4 linked regions of the Arabidopsis thaliana genome follow. The protein of the gene in region 1 interacts with the protein of each later gene in a pairwise test. Each region holds a gene or a part of one and is shown on either strand. Other genes may lie near its edges. The genes, in order: FRU, AGL44, BHLH100 and BNQ3.

Region 1 (3,872 bases):
GACGATAAAGAAGCCTTAGCATTCACCAACCGTATGAGGAGAAACAAGCAGACAAGCGTAACCATCTTACACCTCATACCTCAACTTACTACCGAGGAAAGCGAAGACTCGGTGCAGAAGTTGGATTACGATGACATAAAAGAGATAATGAAGACTGAGGATTCAAATGAAAATGATTCATGGATATGTATAGAAAAAAGCGTCAAAGAAGGGGCTGAGACTTCAGTGATACTTAGATCAATAGCGTATGATTATGATTTGTTTATAGTTGGAAGAAGTAGCGGAATGAATAGCGCAGTTACAAAAGGATTAAATGAATGGACAGAGTTCGAGGAACTTGGAGCCCTCGGAGATGTTATAGCGTCAAAGGAGTTTCCTTCAAGGGCATCTGTCTTGGTCTTGCAACAGCAACAATATTAGAATCTTTTTGTTTTACCATGTTATGAATATCCAAAGCACAAATTAGGTTCCTAGAGTTGAGTCGGCGATCCATATAGGTCGTCTGTACTGCTTTCTCGGGGTTAAAATTCTTTATTCTTTTACCAATCAAACAGAGAACAATACATAGAATCAAGATGTGAATGGTCTTGCAACAACAAAGCAATAATACAGCCAATGAACCAAAACGTGATATATCAAAGCAAAAGAAACTTAAGACTTGAGACTATAAACAAAACATAAATATTACTTCATTTAACCATACAATTTGTCGCTAAATTACTATATAACATGGTGTTTATTCAATAGAGAATCAACAATCTCGGTTACATCATCACTAGAATAGAAATTAGAGCCCTGGAAGTTATGAAACATGTAAGAAAGGTACACAATCAATATAGTGCAGAACCGGATTTGACTCACGTTAGAGCAAGCGTTATAGAATCAAGTAAATGACTTGATGAATTCAAAACCTTGATTTAAAAGTGATCCAGTGATCCACAGCTTCAGGTTAGGCAAGTTTAAGCTCTGTTCGAAGCATGTCCCCTGTTTCCACCACACAAGAAAACTCGGTAAGTAAACGGTATACTCGGAAACAAAACAAAGTAAAAGGGCACAAGTTGATTTACATCTAAGGTATATGTTAAGAGGTATGTGTCCGGAGAAGGAGAGCTTAGGTTAGAGTTCTGCACTTGGAAACTTGTAAGAGACTCCAAAGACTTGTAAAGAGATGGAGCAACACCTTCTCCTTTGTTACACACCAATCTCACATAAAACCCTTTCTCCTCCACTTGTATAACATCCATCTAACACAACAAAACATACAAACTTTAAACACTTTGATGTTTCAAGAAGATTGATTGGTTTTTTTAGGTTATTACCTGAATGATTTTTTTGGAAGCAGGAGGATTGATACCGCGAAAAGGTTGAGTCTTTTGAGCATCAGGAGCATGTTCTTGGTACCCTCCAGTAGAGTTTAAAGAAGCTTCAAGACCCGCGATATCGGATTTGAGTTTCTTCGCTTGTGACTGAAGTTCTTGAACATACAACACTGCATCTCCAACAATGGATGCTTTATCCATCTAAATGCCAACACACACATACTTCATCAATATTTACAGTTTCATTAGTCATTACCAAATCTTGAAAATGTTGTGACTTACCTTAGTAATATTGGGAACAAGAGATCTCAATGCATAAAGCTTATCCTTCATACGCCCTCTCCTTCTTCTCTCAGAGATCAAAGTCCTAGACCGATCAGTCTTCGTCTTACGGGTCCCATCATTATTCGTAGTAGTGGCTGAAGAATCATCACCGTCGTTGTAATCTTCTTCATCTTCTTCACCACCGGCTCTAACACTATCACCGTCGAAGCTACGGAATGATTCAGCAACGTTGGAGTCTAAGTCAGGCAATTCGTCGAAGAGGTCATCGACAGGTGTTGGGATGAACTGGTTCTCGTCTATGAAACAGGGGCTGTTTTGTAATGGACCAAGATCGAAATCAAGAACTGGGTTTTCGTCAATGGTTTGATGATCTCCTCTTATGAGGTTTATGAACTGATCGAAGTTTGGATCGACCAAGAAATTGTGAAGTTCGAGATCGTTTATGTTTGACAGAGCGTTGACTCTTCCTTCCATTTGTGTGTTTTTGTCAATGAAGAAAAGTTGTTGACAACGAAAGAGAGACAAAATGAGTTTATATAATAGAGTGAGTATGAAATAAACTGTATTAATTAACATAATAAGTTAAGAAATCAATTAAAACAAATTTAAAGAAATGTACTCTTGATAGTTGGTTGATATTAGTTTATTCAGTTACGTCTTGTAATGTCATGCATGACCTGTATATTATATGTATAAATTATGTTACTCGAATGATTAATTTGTCGTGTTGCATGACAATTATATTTCCACATTGTTCTTCTTTATATTTTATCATTTGAATTTTTTTTTGTGGTGGAGGGAATGCAGATTAGAAACAAGAGTATATGTTGATCAAAAAAAAAAAAAAATATATATAGAAATAACACACATTTTTGGTCATGTCTTTATTGGGAGAAGTTTTTTAAAATTATACTACTTTCCAAAAATATCATTTTTATCCATTTTCAAAAATACCACAAATATTTAGAGTTTTTTAAAGTTATAAAATATACCAAAAATATTACTATATAATTTAGTTTATGAATACATTATTATGAGTTTTGGTTATTAAGACCTTATATAGGCATATAGCATGTATATTAAGCTCATAATATATCCTGTTACTATATAATTTAGTTTATGAATATATATGAGTTTTGGTTATATAAATAAATAAATCGATCAGACCGTATTAAAAAGGTGTTCATAAGTAAAAGTTTACTACGATATTAGACGTACAAATGTTAGTGTACTGTTTATATTTTTGAATTTAGATCCACATATATTCTTGTTTATTAAAATGTTAGGAATTAATTTGCAATCGGCTTATTACAACTGTAGATGTCAACTGGTTTAGTTGTCACAAGCTAGAATTTTAACAAAAGTTTTTCTCAACATTTTTATGTTAGTGTATTTAAAAAGTACTCCAATATGATAAATATGTTTTGTAGAAAAACGGCCAAAATTAATTTCAAATATAAACTTAAACCAGCATAATTTTCAAATAACAAACCAACTCTGGAATATAATAGCATTTCAATTATTTTCTTTTATTTTTGATAAATGCATTTCCATTTTTCAAATCATTTAAGGATAAACCGCAATTAAATTATGAAGAAGCCTGTTCAATGCACGGTTTTCGTTCTTGTCTCAACAAACAAACAAAGGATAGCAAAGAAAGACAGTATAAAATATTAAAGTCTTGGCCGGTTAGGACAAAAATCAACTCTTTATAATATTTCAAGTTGGAATATTTTTTCAGGTATATAACTGTAAAAAAAAAAAAAAAAAAAAAGTCAACCAATTATAGATTCCATCTAGGTGTTGAATTTATTAGAGAAACTGAACTTTTGAGCAACATTGGATTTTTGGGATACTCCACAACTTTCAAAAACATCAACCAATTTCCAAATAAATATTTGAATAATGCTATTATGTCAATTTAGTAGATGTTTGGTTAGATCGTGGCTGTAAATTTCGGTCTGTAATGTTTCTGATATAATCTTATTTTTGCTGTAAAATTTTTTTTCACATATAGCCTCTAGAGTTTAAAACAAATAAAAATTGTTGTAAAAACAATTCATGAATATGGCATACTTTGGTTCAAATATATTTGATACATGTGAAGCTAGCATAATTTTTACTGAAATTCTTCCTATTTCGTTTTTTTTTTGCCACATGATTATCTTTCAGTACTCCAACAAATATGACAACTCTTTTTCTTTTCTTCACTAATTGACATTTGGAACAAATACAATTTTGCTGTACCTATCACATCTTTAGAAACAT
Region 2 (7,495 bases), 6.0 Mb from region 1:
AAGACACGGTGAGCAAGTAATCCGCGGAGGCTGAATACAGAGCAATATCTCATCTTCGAGATGAACTATTATGGATAAAGAAGGTACTTCTATCAATGGGTGTTCGTCATGATCAACCGATGAACATTTTCTGTGATAGCAAAGCAGCGATCTACATAAGTACTAATCCAGTCTTTCATGAACGTACCAAGCACATCGAGAATGACTGTCATGTTGTTCGTGTGAAATACAAAAAGGAACCATGTCTCCACATCATGTTTCCACAACTCAACAGCTAGCCGACATTTTTACGAAACCGTTAGGACGACAAGCATATGAGCTATTTCGCAGCAAGCTGGGCATTCTTGATCTCCACGCACCAGCTTGGGAGGGGGTAATAGCGTATCCTAACGTATCAATGTGATACGCTCCAATATCAATCACATTTACTGTGAATTGATTTTGATTTGTATCTCTTTAGGAAAGTAGATATCGTCTCTTACCTATATAACAATGTAAAGGCTACTGTGAATAAGGACAAGAAACTTCTTCTCATACATCAATCTCTATTTGTTCACTTTGTATAAAAATGCCAATTAGACTGGATTTTGTAGATTTAATGTACCCGAAAAAAACACACGGTAAAATGATGTCTAGTATGTTCGGCACTCACATCACATCATTATTTTATGATGTACATACACAAGTAACTTGACAAAGAGAAACTTGTCATATACATATTAAACTCCAAAGTAGTAAACAGAATTACATAACCAAGAATGAAATGATCCAGCTTGGTTGTTACTGAAGATGACATACAAACTCTTTTCGTATATTGTTCGATGTCCCACATGTTTTGCTAGGAAAGTTGTAGCCTAATTCAAAGATTCAGACATATTCTATAAAATTAAGAACTATAAGTCTATAAGCTTAGTTTATAGATTTACTGGTTGAGTGAGAAAACTTACCCTAGTCTGATTGATTTTTCTCTAGGAGCTGGTTGTAGTTGTATGAGTTGAAGTTGCGGTGGTGCATATGTTGTGGTTCCATTGCTTATTGGATCTACACTTGAATTGCCTTCAATCGCATTTGTTCTTCCATGAACCTGTTGGCCACGACAAGTGTTTAATTAGGTTAACATGATCAAGAAATGTTTCTACATAAACATTTTTTTTTTATCTAAATAAAAGCATTTGTGTCACCTTCTTTTGCAATTTAATATTTTCCTTACGCATTATATCTACAATATTTTGTAGCTCGTGATTCTCTTTTTGGATGATTTGTCCCTGTAATAGAATCAAACATTGTTGGTTTAAAGATGAAAAAAAAAAATCATCAAACATTGTCAATCTTCTTATTAACCCCAAAAGAACATATTTTGATTATTTGGCTAACAAACCTTACGATTAAGTTCTCTGATTTCATTTGTCATAAGTTGATCCTACAAAAGAGAATAATTAGTTGTCCAAATAGTATGGCAGTGAAAGAGAGGCACCAATAATCTTTGTCCAAAATATGTTTGTATAAAATGTTCCTTAAAACCATACCTTTTTGAGACGAACACCTTTTAGACTTGTTACTAGCTGGTCTTCAAGGTTTTGTAGGTCGTTAGCATTCATTCCAGAAAGTTCCTCTCCCACTAGTTTCCTTCATAGTATTATAGGTTAATTTTATAATGCATTTGGGAGTGAAATATAATTTGTTTAACATGCTAGCTCTTCGGTCAAAATCTATTTGTTTTTACTTGCAATTTCTTATATATAATTGATAGTTTTTGTAAATAAGTAGCGAGATTAGATTAGTATATTGTATCTTATAATACTCAGTTTCTGTTTTGACATGTGCAATAGCTCTTACCTGTGGCATTCTTGTAGATATTGGAGCTGCTGCTGCAAACTTGCAACCTCTCTTTGCCAAAACTGATAACATAAAGAGAAAACTAATGATGTGAATGTAAATGAATATATTAAAGTGGCCCTAGTCATAACAACTATATATTGGTTGCCTCAAACCAGAGCTTCATGTTCTTAGACTCATGGACGATCATATGTGTAGATGTTCGATTAATTTAATTAGCAATCATTATAAGCTAAGCTTTTTAAAAAATAGAAACAATCTCGTTAATGATCATCAACTCACAAATCACAAACTATTTAGATACTTCTAGAAATATAGAAGTTTTTAGGGTTTCAAAATAGGTTGATTATGTAGCAGAAAATGGGAAAGATTAAAACTAACTAAATTGAAATTATGAGACTTTATTTATATAAAATATTATGATATAAGCTTTCAACTCAAAACCAATTAGCAAAGCATTTGTCCATTTATCTTATGTACTAATTAAGGTCCCTTGTTTTTTCTAAAATGAGCAATTGTTATCCATAATATGTCCATATTCGAGATGATGGCTCTTTAAACCATTATATTAATCTTGGTATGTTCGTGCAAGCATTTAGATCAGTAAGACAATAAATTTGTTACCTTAAACTAATTATCATAACTACAGGCTACAGCTAATATGGTCAAAGAAATTGTATTTTTCTTTTGATTGCTTTGATACCGTATATATCAGCCTCTTTGTTACAATTAAAAAATATAGTTTTTATTAATATTAATTTTATAAACTAAAAACGATTTTTCATTTTTGTAGCAAAAAATCAGAGCTTATGTAGTTATTCGAAACAGTTAAACCGATATTAAGAAGATTCTAGATATATAGCATAGAAACATCAAGAACCGATTAAGCTCACAACAAGGAGAGGGGGTTGTGAGAAATACAAAGGCGGGATCCAAACGTGGTTTGCTTCGACGAGATAACACTGTCGATAGTATCTATTTGATTTTTTAAAAAAGTTTTTTGCATTCATATGTATAAACGTTTATTTATTTTTTAAAAATAATTTAATATTATATTTAAAAAAAATTGAAATCATCAATTTTTGTTTTCAGTTACAAATTTGAAAGCATCAATTATTAAATCAAAAATTATTTGGTTAGTTTCTTTTATGTATGTTTTATAAATGTTTTCAGAACGCTATTTAAAAAAATCTTCCATTTAATTAATAAATTTATTTAATTATAAAAAAAAAACAGAAAAACAATCATTTGAAAAACCTAAAAAGAATGTGGGTTCATTCAGAAGTTTATCATCCTAATGAGATAAATTATAATTTAGAGAAAAAGGTAAAAATCTTTACTATGAATACCTTTATCTCTGAGGCATGATTCAGAAGTTGATGCTGCTCCTCTTTTACTCTGTTGTACCGCTCAATGATTGTTTTCATACTATTCAGGTTCGAAAAGATAACAATGTTATTAATCATACATTAATTAACATATTAAAATTAACTCAACAGACAACAGTAAGTAATATAACTTAAGTAACTCAAATTTGTCGTTTGAATTATTTTTTAAAATTTGTGAATTTTGATATCAATTATATAAGATAGATACAAGTTTTACAATGCCAATTCCAGTATATGCATGAAGTTTGTCTACCTATATCGTTTGAGCACCTACAAGGCTACAACAATAGTTCGAACATATATAGAAATATCGTAATATTACTAACAAAAAAAGTAAGTACGGATGTAAAAGCAACGTATGACATGAAAGATGCAAGTGTTTTAAGAAAATAACATGTTATTTTGTATATTTCAGACACAAGCCAAAATACATCAAACTTACTTACAATTCTACCACCATATATATATCGTAAATAAGTCTCCGCATATATAGCCATTTACAAAATTCATTCTATTTTAGACTTACTAAAATATTTCGATATTTTTGTAAGTACCTGCACGGAAGTCTACACATAAGAGAAACTAAGTGTACAAACACCACACACACACACACACACAAGAAGGTATTAACTTAAGAGAAAGAAGTGGACAATCTATTCTTTTTTGTCCGTACACGTTCACGGTTTGTACCGACGACATTGTGGGTGATTAGAACAAATTTCATTATCTAGATTGGGAATCCATGCTCCAGCATCTTCCCTCTTACTCGTTTTATTGATCGATAAATCAACCCACAATAGGTTAGTTTCGCTTCGCTCCTTGACCTTCTCCAAAAGGTGGTTTCGAGCAAAAGGAATTCTTTCATTCCTTTCTTATTATCTTAGATTTCACACAAACATTTTGACTACTAATTTTATATTTAAATGATGAATGAAGTATGATCATCAAAACAAAAGAATGAAAAAACTACATACATTTAATTCAATTCATTTACCTTCCAAAATATTAGAGACATATATATTTCTTATAAATTGTTGTTAAATATTTAGATTTCAGATGAATGTTTTTCTCCTGTTTTTTATTTACTGTAAAAGTAGATGAATCTTTCATTTTAGCATATATATGTCTCTAATATTTTTGAAATATATATACAAATTGAATATATATATAAGAAAGCTATGAGGGAAATAAATATAATGAAAGAATAATATCAGGGACATAAAATATAGTGATGAATGAAATATATATATCTTACAGATTTTTGAAGTATAAATATTAGAGACATATATATTTTTTAGACAGAAATTTCAGGGAAATGCGCATGAATGTCTTTTCTTTAATTATGTACTTACATTACATACTTAGCTTATACAAAATTGGAAAATGTATTTTTTTAAACACTTGTTAAAACACAGAATCAAATGCTTTTTGTTCTATATTATATGAAAGAAAACCACAAACTAATCTTTTCAAGTTCAAATTTTATCAAATAGCACATGGTCACATATATGTGACATATTACGAATTCAAATCAATTATAATAAAAGGTGAAAATGTAGATAGAGTAAAATACAAACAATTCTAATCAATATAGTCTGTATACATCACATAGTGAAGAAGTAGAAATAATTTTTTTGATCTGTATATAGTACTGGTTCATGTTCTTTCTATAATTGAACACTTAGCAAGGCATAAATCAGTAACCATTTATCTTGATGCACTTGCAACAAACATAGATACACGTGCATATACTTATCGAAAGCTATGAGGGAAATAAAATAATTTGAAGTTAAGAATGTTCAAATCATAATTTGCTATGCAAGTCTTACATGGATATATCGTCTGTATTCAAATCAATGTGTGTAAGATAAACTAAAGCCTATCTAAAGATATATAATAATTTAAGTTTGATTTGAAAAAACGAAGGAGAAACAAACATCAAAAATCATCGTTCAAAATAGCTAAACATGTGCTATAACCCTATCGAGAAACTAATACTTAGACAAAAAAAAAAAGAGAGAGAGACAAAAAGTGTGTAACGATGAGACATTATCATTAGTGACAATTGTATATACACACACATGTCTTGGGATCAAGAGAACTGAGGAATCTAACAGGCAAGACAAATGCAAAATTACTTCATTGACTTGTACTAAGGAAGTAAAGAAGCTAACCTTGAATTGCTTGCGTAGTCGTAGAGCTTTCCGGTGCTAGAGAATATGATAACACCAACTTCTGCATCACAAAGGATCGATAACTCTTTAGCTTTCTTAAGCAAACCACTCCTTCTCTTGGAGAAAGTCACTTGTCTACTTGTAGAGTTATCGATCCTTCGTATAACTATCTTCCCTCTCCCCATCTCTCTCCCCAAAAGACTAACACCAAAACCAACTGCATCAAAGTTTATCAAGAATAAGTAAGCACATCGTAAATGTCAAAATGATCAAATCTAGATAATCTTCCTGATTCAAACTTGACTTAGATTTGTCCTCTTTCATAGATTTCTCCTAGTTTCTTGGATTGAATTTATATACATATGTGTTCGTGAAGATTTGACTTACTTGATCAGGGTTTGCAATAAATGGAAAGAAGAAGGCAGAGGAAGAGGAGAAGCTTCTTTTTTTTTTTCCTTCTCAAAAGATATCTTCTGTGGTTTCTGTTTGTGGTATATATGGCAAGAGAGCGGATTCAGAACAAAACCACTGCTGGTTTTATTACAAAAGAGTAGTTTCAATAAAGCCCCACTTGCGTGAGTATAGTAAACATTTATACTCGCTCTCTTATGCGCAAGTCTGATTGAGTCAAACATTTGACTTCGTAAATTGCTAAAATCACGACAAGAAAAGCGAGTACAGTCGAATTATAGACACGAGCGCGTGAGATTTAAATATCCTCGGACTATCAGGTGTACCCAACCACGAATCGTGGGGCGTTAATACAAGGTGGTATTGAAACAATCAATAGATGACTGACACGTGGATAAGTTAGAGATGCTTTTGTAAAGTCCGAGGGGTAATTTAGTAATTGCAAACAATAGTATCTTTCTGTAATTGACAAATGGTTTTGGCTTTTGGCAGAGCTGGTGCTGTACTTGTACTGTTGTCCGATGATATCTCTTCCACTTATTATTTTATTGTTTTTTTGTGTGGTATCATCTTTTCTGGTTTTGATATTTTTGAGGTTTAAAAAGTCGGACATGCGTATATTTTTTCGAATAATATATGTAATAATCTATATTATCTTTAACTCTAATCCTTGGTCATTGAGTAAAACTTTTTTTAATAAATCTGGCCAATAAATGACTAATGAAAGAGAATATGTAAGTTCTTATTGCATCCGTTTAGAAATTTGGAAGTTTCTATACAATCGAGGATACCATTTTAGTGTGATTTTATTTTACATATATATATTACATGTTGAGTATATATTTTTTAAATTCCTTATTGTTTTTTAATTTTTATATTTTTTCTGTCAATGTAAAATTTTATATATTAATTTCATGAATGTGACACTACTCATGAATCGTTTTACAACCTTGTTCTTTAATCTAGTTGGTATTGGATTCTCCATTCATATTTTAATTTTTCTTGATCTTGAATGAATTTTTATTTCACTTATTACATTGAGTATGTATAAATATTTCTACATCATTGTCATGAATATGTTTACTACTCATAAATGATTTAACTATAACAACTTTGTTCTTAGATAATTTATAAGTATGATTATTTGTTAAATTTAAAGGTCCAAAATGCCAAAAAAAAAAACAAAAAAAAAGCTTAAGATAACAAAAGGTAATTCGGATCGAATATGGTTCGATTTATCTATTGAATTTTTTAACGGTCGAGTAGTCCATCCATTATATTTATTTAGGGATCTAAAGGATGACACTATTTTGACAGTTCAAACAACAGTTGGGTATTTGAAACCCATTGGTAACCAGGATAGGATCTTTATGCTAGAATTAAAGAAATAATTTAGATTGCGTGGATGTGAGACTCAGTGACTTATATCACATGTCATCACTAGGACATGTGAAGGTCATTGTATTGGATGTATGAGCAAAATCTAAAACCAGTTCAAAAATTGACTCTCTGTAACGACATTTGTTTTATTACTGAGGCTGGAAAGAATTCATGATAAGGTCTAATAATTTTCTAGTTGTTAAATTTTCCTTGAGTTTAGTGATCTCTTGGATATAAACTTTAAATATATTGGATACAAAAACTAAGTAAAATTTAATGTAATGAGAGACTGAGAGTATCAGTATG
Region 3 (3,768 bases), 5.2 Mb from region 1:
AGGCCTTTACAGCTTCGTTGATGCAGTCGACCCAGAAAAGTTATTCCCTTTGCAGTTTTTGGTTAAAGAATTTATGGTAAGACAAACTAGAAAGAAAGACTTAAACATTTCGAAGATCTTTTGGTTTTCTTTGTATATTATAAATTACATAGCTAGGTAATATAATCGATCATGTTAAAATTTAAGACACTAAAAACTAAATTTGAAAATAAGATTAGGTATTTTATTAGGATATTATTTTTAATTTACAAATATGCTTGTTTTTTTTTTTTTTGGTGCAAACAAATATGCCTTAGTATTTATTTGAAACAAAATGGGCCAAAATTATTCTTCCAATTAAGGCCCAAAAGCGATCATTCACCTAATTTTAGATCAGGCAGGCTTGATAATTGGGAAGATTATTATGTGTTTTTAAACACTGATTCACCATCCATAAGTTATGTGCTTCTGTTTTGATTTCAGGGTTTTTAAATATGTAATTTTGCCGAATCAAACGGAAAAAAATTGAATACGAAAGGTTAAAAAAATGACTTCAGATGATTTTTTTGTTAAAGACTTTCAGATAATTAGTGTCCACATATGACATCGGTGTGTAACCACAGATGTGAGATGACAAATCCTCATAAAATATACACAGATATATAAACCTTTACACTGTTGCACACAACCCATGTTCGCGTTGTTCTCCTTCCAAATCGGTACCAAAACGTTTGCCCGTGAAACTTTCATTTCGCCAAAATAATATAATATATTAAAATTAATATACAAAAAAAAAACCTATTTCTAAAAAGAACCTCGAATTTTAACGAGAGACAAAACAGAAAAAATATATATAGCATCGTTAATTATTAAATCATGTAAACGAGTGTCCACATTTCTCGTACAAGTACAACAATCTATCACCTAATTCTTCGGAATTCACCTGGCCATTTTTTATCTGAAGATGCATAGAGTAAAAGAGTCGCTCTCCATGAGACCTTGAAGATGAAGCACCCACAAGAACCAACCCATCTTCTTCTACACCACTCAAGACATTCCCAAACGAACATTTTTCAGTCTGTAACGATGAAATTTGGACCATCACTTCAGTCTCACTGAGCCTAGTCGAAGAAACTGTCGACGCATAGCTTGTAACCCCTTCCTCTGACTTACTGTTTTGGTCGGTGTAAACGAGATCTCTTTGACCCGAAATTTGAAACGAGAGCTCTTCTTTCTTCTTCATGAGCTTTTTAACTTGCTCTTGCAGCTCTGGTATGTACTTCAATGCTTGTGAAACTGTTGCCGAAACACTTAACTTCTTCTGCAAGAAAATACATAAAAAATAGGACAGATCTTTCAGTTTATGTTACTTGGGACCGATTTTTTTTTCCTTCTTTGCGTTAGAAAAAACAAAACATATCACTGTTTGTATCAACACCAAAATTGCAAAAGCAATGAATAACAACTTTTAGCATTTGCAAGAAAACATTTGATATTTTTTTGTTTCTGTTGAATATTAAACTAAACTTTCAAATTTTTTCATAATTTTAGAAATAGAAAAGTATATAGAATTAACAGTTACCGTTTGATTGGTGGGAGGAAGACAAGAACGAAGAGATGAGAACATTGTGTTGATCTTCTTGCGACGCTCACGTTCACTCGCGTTGTGATTAAGCTTCTTCATCACCACGGGATTGTCTAGTAATGTTCTGTTATTCTCAGACGACACATTCTCATGAGTCACCGTCAAGTCCGGCAACGGAAAATCAAGAAACGTGTTGGATACGTCGTCGGTTTCATAGAAGCTATGATCTCCGCAAGGCCAGCCGAAATTGGGATATAATGGAGGGACAAGTGCACACATTTTGAGTTTTAGATAGTTACTCTGTTCTTTTTTGTCTCTCTCTAGAAGCTGTTTCGGTTGGGATTATGCTGATGTGTTAGTTGGATTATTTATGTGGACACTCATTTTTGTTTATATATACACTGATACACACACACGGACACAAGAAAAATACTAATGACTCTGTGTTGTATATGTAATAAATTAAAATACATTGGGTCACGAGTGGACATGCGTTGACACGTGGTTGAGCACTTTTCCCCCAAGTAGGAGCATGTTCCAAGGATCACCTGTTGACCTCCGGATACAGGCATTAATATCCTAATGTTCTTATCGTAATTTATAACATAAGTTTACACTATTGTATCGTATAATTACATGAATATGAATGTATGAGTATTAATCAAAAATTCTAAATATTTTATAATGTGTCAAAATAGAAATTCGATTTATTAAGCAAATTATTTAGTTAGCAAAAAATAACAGTTAAATAGGAACAACTACTATAAGAAGATACAGAATATGCAATCACATTTTTCTACCACAAATACGTTAAGTAAACTAAGACCAAAAATATGAATTATGACGCAGCTGGAAGAAAAGAGACAGACACTGAGAAGAAGTACACGAGGATACACGGGTTTGGTGGACGTGGACTATTGAGAGGCACGAGCAAATCACGTGGAATATGTTAAGGCTTTTCTCCTGAATCCAACCATTTCTATGTAGTATATACGTAGGCATTAAGTGTTTACAAATATTTAACAAATGTATATTCCTTATTTAAATTTATTAATTACATCTTATATGGTGTAGTGTCTATCGTTTATTTTGTATTATATTATAGCCTTTCTGATCATATTACACAAGTCAACTCCGGTCATCTCGGTCAGGCCAAAAGCCTTGATTCTATTCTATTATCCATGGACGAGGATAAAAGAGAGACGGAGATATTTTGGATTTTTCCTCATTCTATTTACGCCTCTTTAAATCCAAAGATCTAAATGGGCTTCTCTAAAAACAATTGGCCCTAAGATAATTGCTTTTTCTTTTTCTTTTTTTTGCAATGAGTTTACATGTTTGTAGCCCATTATATGTAGATAATCTCTAAAATGTGAAGTATTTGACTATTTGTCAACAATTATGAACATAATGTTAAAATACAACCCACAATAATCACAGATACAGTTTGATTAGATTTATCCATTGATATGTTGGCAACTTTTGGTATTGTCCATACGTTGCCTAGGTTCAACTCTAAATTTCCATTTTTCTTGATCTCTTCTTGATCACATATTTAAAGAACTCAATTCTCCTTCTTTTATAAGCAAATGTCGAAAACAGTACAACACTTCGGTTCGGATTAAGAACGATCATGAAGCTTATTATTGATCTTTTATTATACATTGTTTTCTGGTTTTCTACATTAGCCGCAACATATATTACACACATTATGCTACAAAAGAGAAATGGAATATACAAAACTGCTCACACAAAAAAAGAAGAAGCTAAAACTGAAGTCTGAACATGTCTCTGAACCATTTCTCTCATATGCTTTTGCTTCAGACCTTCACTCCTATCCGTTGAGCAACCTGCAGAACAAAACAAAAGCACATTCATTTCAAGTAAACCAATGATTTTTAAATTCTTGAGAGATTTGAGCAAAACCAGAGAGATTCGTTTACCTGTTTAAATGACGTAACTTCACTTCCCCAGAGCCAAGCGTCACAGCCTGCGTCTCTAGCTCCCCATACATCATTCCTACGGTCATCTCCTACATGAACCGCATCCTCGGGATTCACTTCTAATAACTCACAAGCTTTTAAGAAGATAGTCGGGTTTGGTTTTTCCGCTTCAACCTGTTAAACATTCAACCAAAAACCTTAAGTATTTACACACTCACTCCCAAAACGTTTCGGATCATCAACAAAAATATATAAACGAAA
Region 4 (3,230 bases), on another chromosome or scaffold:
CCACTAATTTTGTGGACTATTTATTTACTGAAAACTGAATATGCAGTAAATCTCTACGTGCGGGCGCTGGCTGTTTTCGGGAAAGTGGAAGGCCGGTCGTTTTTACGTAGTAAACTGCTCTTGTAATAGAAGTGGGTTAGAACTGGAATGACCAAATTACCCCTTGGTTCTATACTTCTATATATAGATATCAACGATTCAACGTTGCTGCTGATCGAGACGTTGAATGGTATTCTTGTTACCAGAAATGGAAACCGTGGGGGCTTATTAGCATATTTTATTCCTTCTTAAAATATACTTTATACCATTAAGCGAAATTAACGACTAATTTTGATCAGAAAATTTGACTTGCGTTAGTTTAGTTCCTATCGATATTAACTACAAAAACACCGTTATAATCGTATATGCATGACACTAGAAAACATTGTTCTTCTCGTAAATTCAAAATTTAATCAATGTTTTTGCTACTAAAATGTGATGGATTTGGTTGGAATGCCTAGAATCTAAGAAATACCTAAGCCCATATATTGAGTGTGTTGCCTTAAATAATGTGAACGTAAACCCAAACCATTTGCTTCGTTCAACAACTGACAAAAACAAAACCCTACATATATTAAAAATAAAACATTGCATAATTAACAGGGGACACAAGCTGCCAGACATTATAAATACAATAAGAAGGGGAATTAAAACTGAGAAGACATTTTTTCAAAAAAAAGAAAAGAAAAAAATATCCTTCGTTTATTGCACTAATTCTACTGCATAAGCAAACTTCGGATTAGTGCAGCTTGAGCTGAATCAGTTGATTCCAAAAGTTGAGACAATCTTTCACTAAGATCATCCACTTCTTTGCTCAAGTTCCTTATGTAACTGCATGTCTCTTGTAATACCCTTGATGCTGAAACCTGAAAGTAACCAATATATTGATAAGAAGAAGGATCTTATATATAATTAACAATTTAATTATCATGCATGCAGCATGCTATTTATTGTCGATTAGTTTGGAAATTAAAATTTAGCACTCGTCACAAAATGCATCACAATCAAATGAATCAATACATACATGCAATATTGGAATATATGGAATATTAGTTTAATATTTATTTATAATTCTAACTAAAGACTCTCGTTTGTTTGCAACAACAGAAAGATGAAAGAATTACTGTTAAACTTTGATGGAGGATATATATTAGTTATTATTTTTATTTTTTTTAAACCGGAGGTTTGTTCTTTTAAGTACCCACTACTAATCCAAGGAAGATTTAAAAAGGTTTAGAAAAGATTTAAGGTTTGAAAGAGGAAATTAAATTTTTTAAAAGGAATCATAATGAAAAATTGATTAGAACGTTGTACCTTTCCAGAGCGTCTGTTGTTAGCAAGTTCGGGGAGAAGCCGATGAAGCTGGAGGACAAGATCGTTGATTTGTTCATCCGTGATCATGGAAGCTCCAGTTTGTCTTGAACGTGATTTTCTGCTAGACATTATGTAATATATATGATATGGTAGAGTATAGCTAGAGATTTATAAATCTTAGGGTTCACTAATTAACTTTAATCAATATTTGTGAGTGCAAGTATTTTCTTTGTATGTTATTTATATTATAAGAGAAAAAAGAAGGAAGAATTGAATACAGAAGTGGAAGAGTCTACTGCAACTGCTTAAAATAAACATGAATGGTTTCAACTTGTGTTTATATAGAAGATTTTTCTCCGTTTTTGGCTCTACATGTGTATGCATGGAATAATATAATTGCAAAATTATATATGTTTTTTCTAGCATGTTTCCTAAAAACTGTAATATTTTTAAGTATAGTTAAATTAATTGGTGAATTACTAGATTAACACTCTGACTAGTAGTCTTTAACGAAAGGGAAAAAAAACACTCTGAATAGTATTATGCAAATCTCAATGGGTAAGAATTTATATTTTATCTAAAATTTATAGATATATTTGTGCAATAAAAAAACGCTTATCTTATTTGCAAGAACATCTTTGTTGTTAACGGTAGAAAATTTTCGTCTCGTTATGTTTTTAAACTTATATAGGAAAAACATTTCCATTTATCCAATTACAATTCATTATAAAATAGAAGATTAAAATTCATTTTAATTCCACATTATTTTTTTTGCTAATCCAGTTTTCATTTTTCTATATATGTTTCACTAGTAACCAACTTCAGAACAAGAGTGATCTTGTGCCATTTTAGTAAATCATTTAAAAGGTGATGTTTGATTATAGTTGGAGGATACCTTCTTTCATATTTTTTTTTGGCACGAATAGAGTATACTAAAACATTTTGGGTTTATAAGACAAAGAGAATATGTATGCATGTTTGTCATACTTATCGGCAAACTTGCATAAATTCTGGAATTGGTGATAATACAAACTTTGGTACTAGACTACAAATTATGATTAGTTTGTATGATATCTTAATTAATCCAAGAACTGTAAAATTAGGATTAACTCCTGGAAATGTTAATCAACTTCTATAGTTATATTGCAAGATTAATTTATTTATATAGTTACATACTTGATCTAGTACATATACTAATTTGAGCATGTACAGACAAACATAAATAATTAAGTTGATTTAGTTTTATTAGAGATGAAATTAAACAATTCTAATATCAGTCTTTTCCATTTTGAGTGTACCTTAGTTTGGTCTTTCTTCCATTTTTATTTGTATACCATGGGCATCAATCAGTTGATTAATATATTGCAAATTTGGAATAATCAATCAAGCGCTCGATTATTTATCCATTTAGATCTGACAATTTTATCACTATATCTCAAGAATTTCTAATCAATGGAAATGATTCCTATAAATAATTTTATAGTCTACAGACAGAAATTTGTCTAGGTATCAAACTATATGGTAACCCGTCTCTCTTCCCATCATGTAATATCTTTATATTTAGATAATAAATAACATTCGTTTTATTGAAGTAATTAATATTTTCTCCAAAAAATTCCATTAGTTAATTATGGTTACACCAACAATTGAGAAAAAATATATTTTTAATTTAATTCATTAAATAAATTGTAAACTAAAAGTTTGTTTTTTAATTAAGAAGTTAGAAGAGAAAATTGGACTTTGATTCCAAATTCCGAACACGTATTGTCTATTTTTAAATCGTTATTAGATTTAATCTAGTAATAGATTTTTTTTTCATATGTGGATTGTTTTACATTTTTTTATTATTTTATTTTACATTTTCATTTGATTTTATT

Evidence for each region.
Region 2: the proteins of FRU (region 1) and AGL44 interact in binary tests that used the Arabidopsis thaliana proteins (3 or more experiments, as listed by UniProt).
Region 3: the proteins of FRU (region 1) and BHLH100 interact in binary tests that used the Arabidopsis thaliana proteins (3 or more experiments, as listed by UniProt).
Region 4: the proteins of FRU (region 1) and BNQ3 interact in binary tests that used the Arabidopsis thaliana proteins (3 or more experiments, as listed by UniProt).

Annotation. Positions count from the first base shown.
Region 1 is NC_003071.7:12,002,919-12,006,790, reverse strand, and holds FRU (FER-like regulator of iron uptake), read right to left. Parts: upstream 2,134-3,872; 5' UTR 2,079-2,133; coding exon 1,602-2,078; intron 1,521-1,601; coding exon 1,320-1,520; intron 1,245-1,319; coding exon 1,068-1,244; intron 985-1,067; coding exon 883-984; 3' UTR 796-882; coding exon of another isoform or gene 788-795; 3' UTR 515-787; downstream 1-514. Other genes in the region: ATCHX7 (Cation/hydrogen exchanger family protein), read left to right, coding at 1-420. UniProt on the Arabidopsis thaliana protein: Transcription factor. Essential protein involved in iron uptake responses. Regulates FRO2 at the level of mRNA accumulation and IRT1 at the level of protein accumulation. Confers enhanced iron mobilization responses at low iron supply.
Region 2 is NC_003071.7:6,016,929-6,024,423, reverse strand, and holds AGL44 (AGAMOUS-like 44), read right to left. Parts: upstream 5,867-7,495; 5' UTR 5,786-5,866; intron 5,616-5,785; 5' UTR 5,584-5,615; coding exon 5,399-5,583; intron 3,265-5,398; coding exon 3,186-3,264; intron 1,899-3,185; coding exon 1,837-1,898; intron 1,627-1,836; coding exon 1,527-1,626; intron 1,421-1,526; coding exon 1,379-1,420; intron 1,266-1,378; coding exon 1,182-1,265; intron 1,085-1,181; coding exon 948-1,084; intron 879-947; coding exon 860-878; 3' UTR 855-859; coding exon of another isoform or gene 839-854; 3' UTR 561-838; downstream 1-560. UniProt on the Arabidopsis thaliana protein: Probable transcription factor. Required for root plasticity in response to nitrate, NO(3)(-). Promotes lateral root growth in a NRT1.1-dependent manner.
Region 3 is NC_003071.7:17,197,478-17,201,245, forward strand, and holds BHLH100 (basic helix-loop-helix protein 100), read right to left. Parts: upstream 1,978-3,768; 5' UTR 1,844-1,977; coding exon 1,562-1,843; intron 1,301-1,561; coding exon 854-1,300; 3' UTR 560-853; downstream 1-559. Other genes in the region: AT2G41250 (Haloacid dehalogenase-like hydrolase (HAD) superfamily protein), read right to left, coding at 3,385-3,414, 3,508-3,681. UniProt on the Arabidopsis thaliana protein: Plays a role in metal homeostasis. Confers tolerance to high zinc (Zn) and nickel (Ni).
Region 4 is NC_003074.8:17,588,981-17,592,210, reverse strand, and holds BNQ3 (BANQUO 3), read right to left. Parts: upstream 1,668-3,230; 5' UTR 1,483-1,667; coding exon 1,354-1,482; intron 906-1,353; coding exon 756-905; 3' UTR 541-755; downstream 1-540. UniProt on the Arabidopsis thaliana protein: Atypical and probable non DNA-binding bHLH transcription factor that integrates multiple signaling pathways to regulate cell elongation and plant development.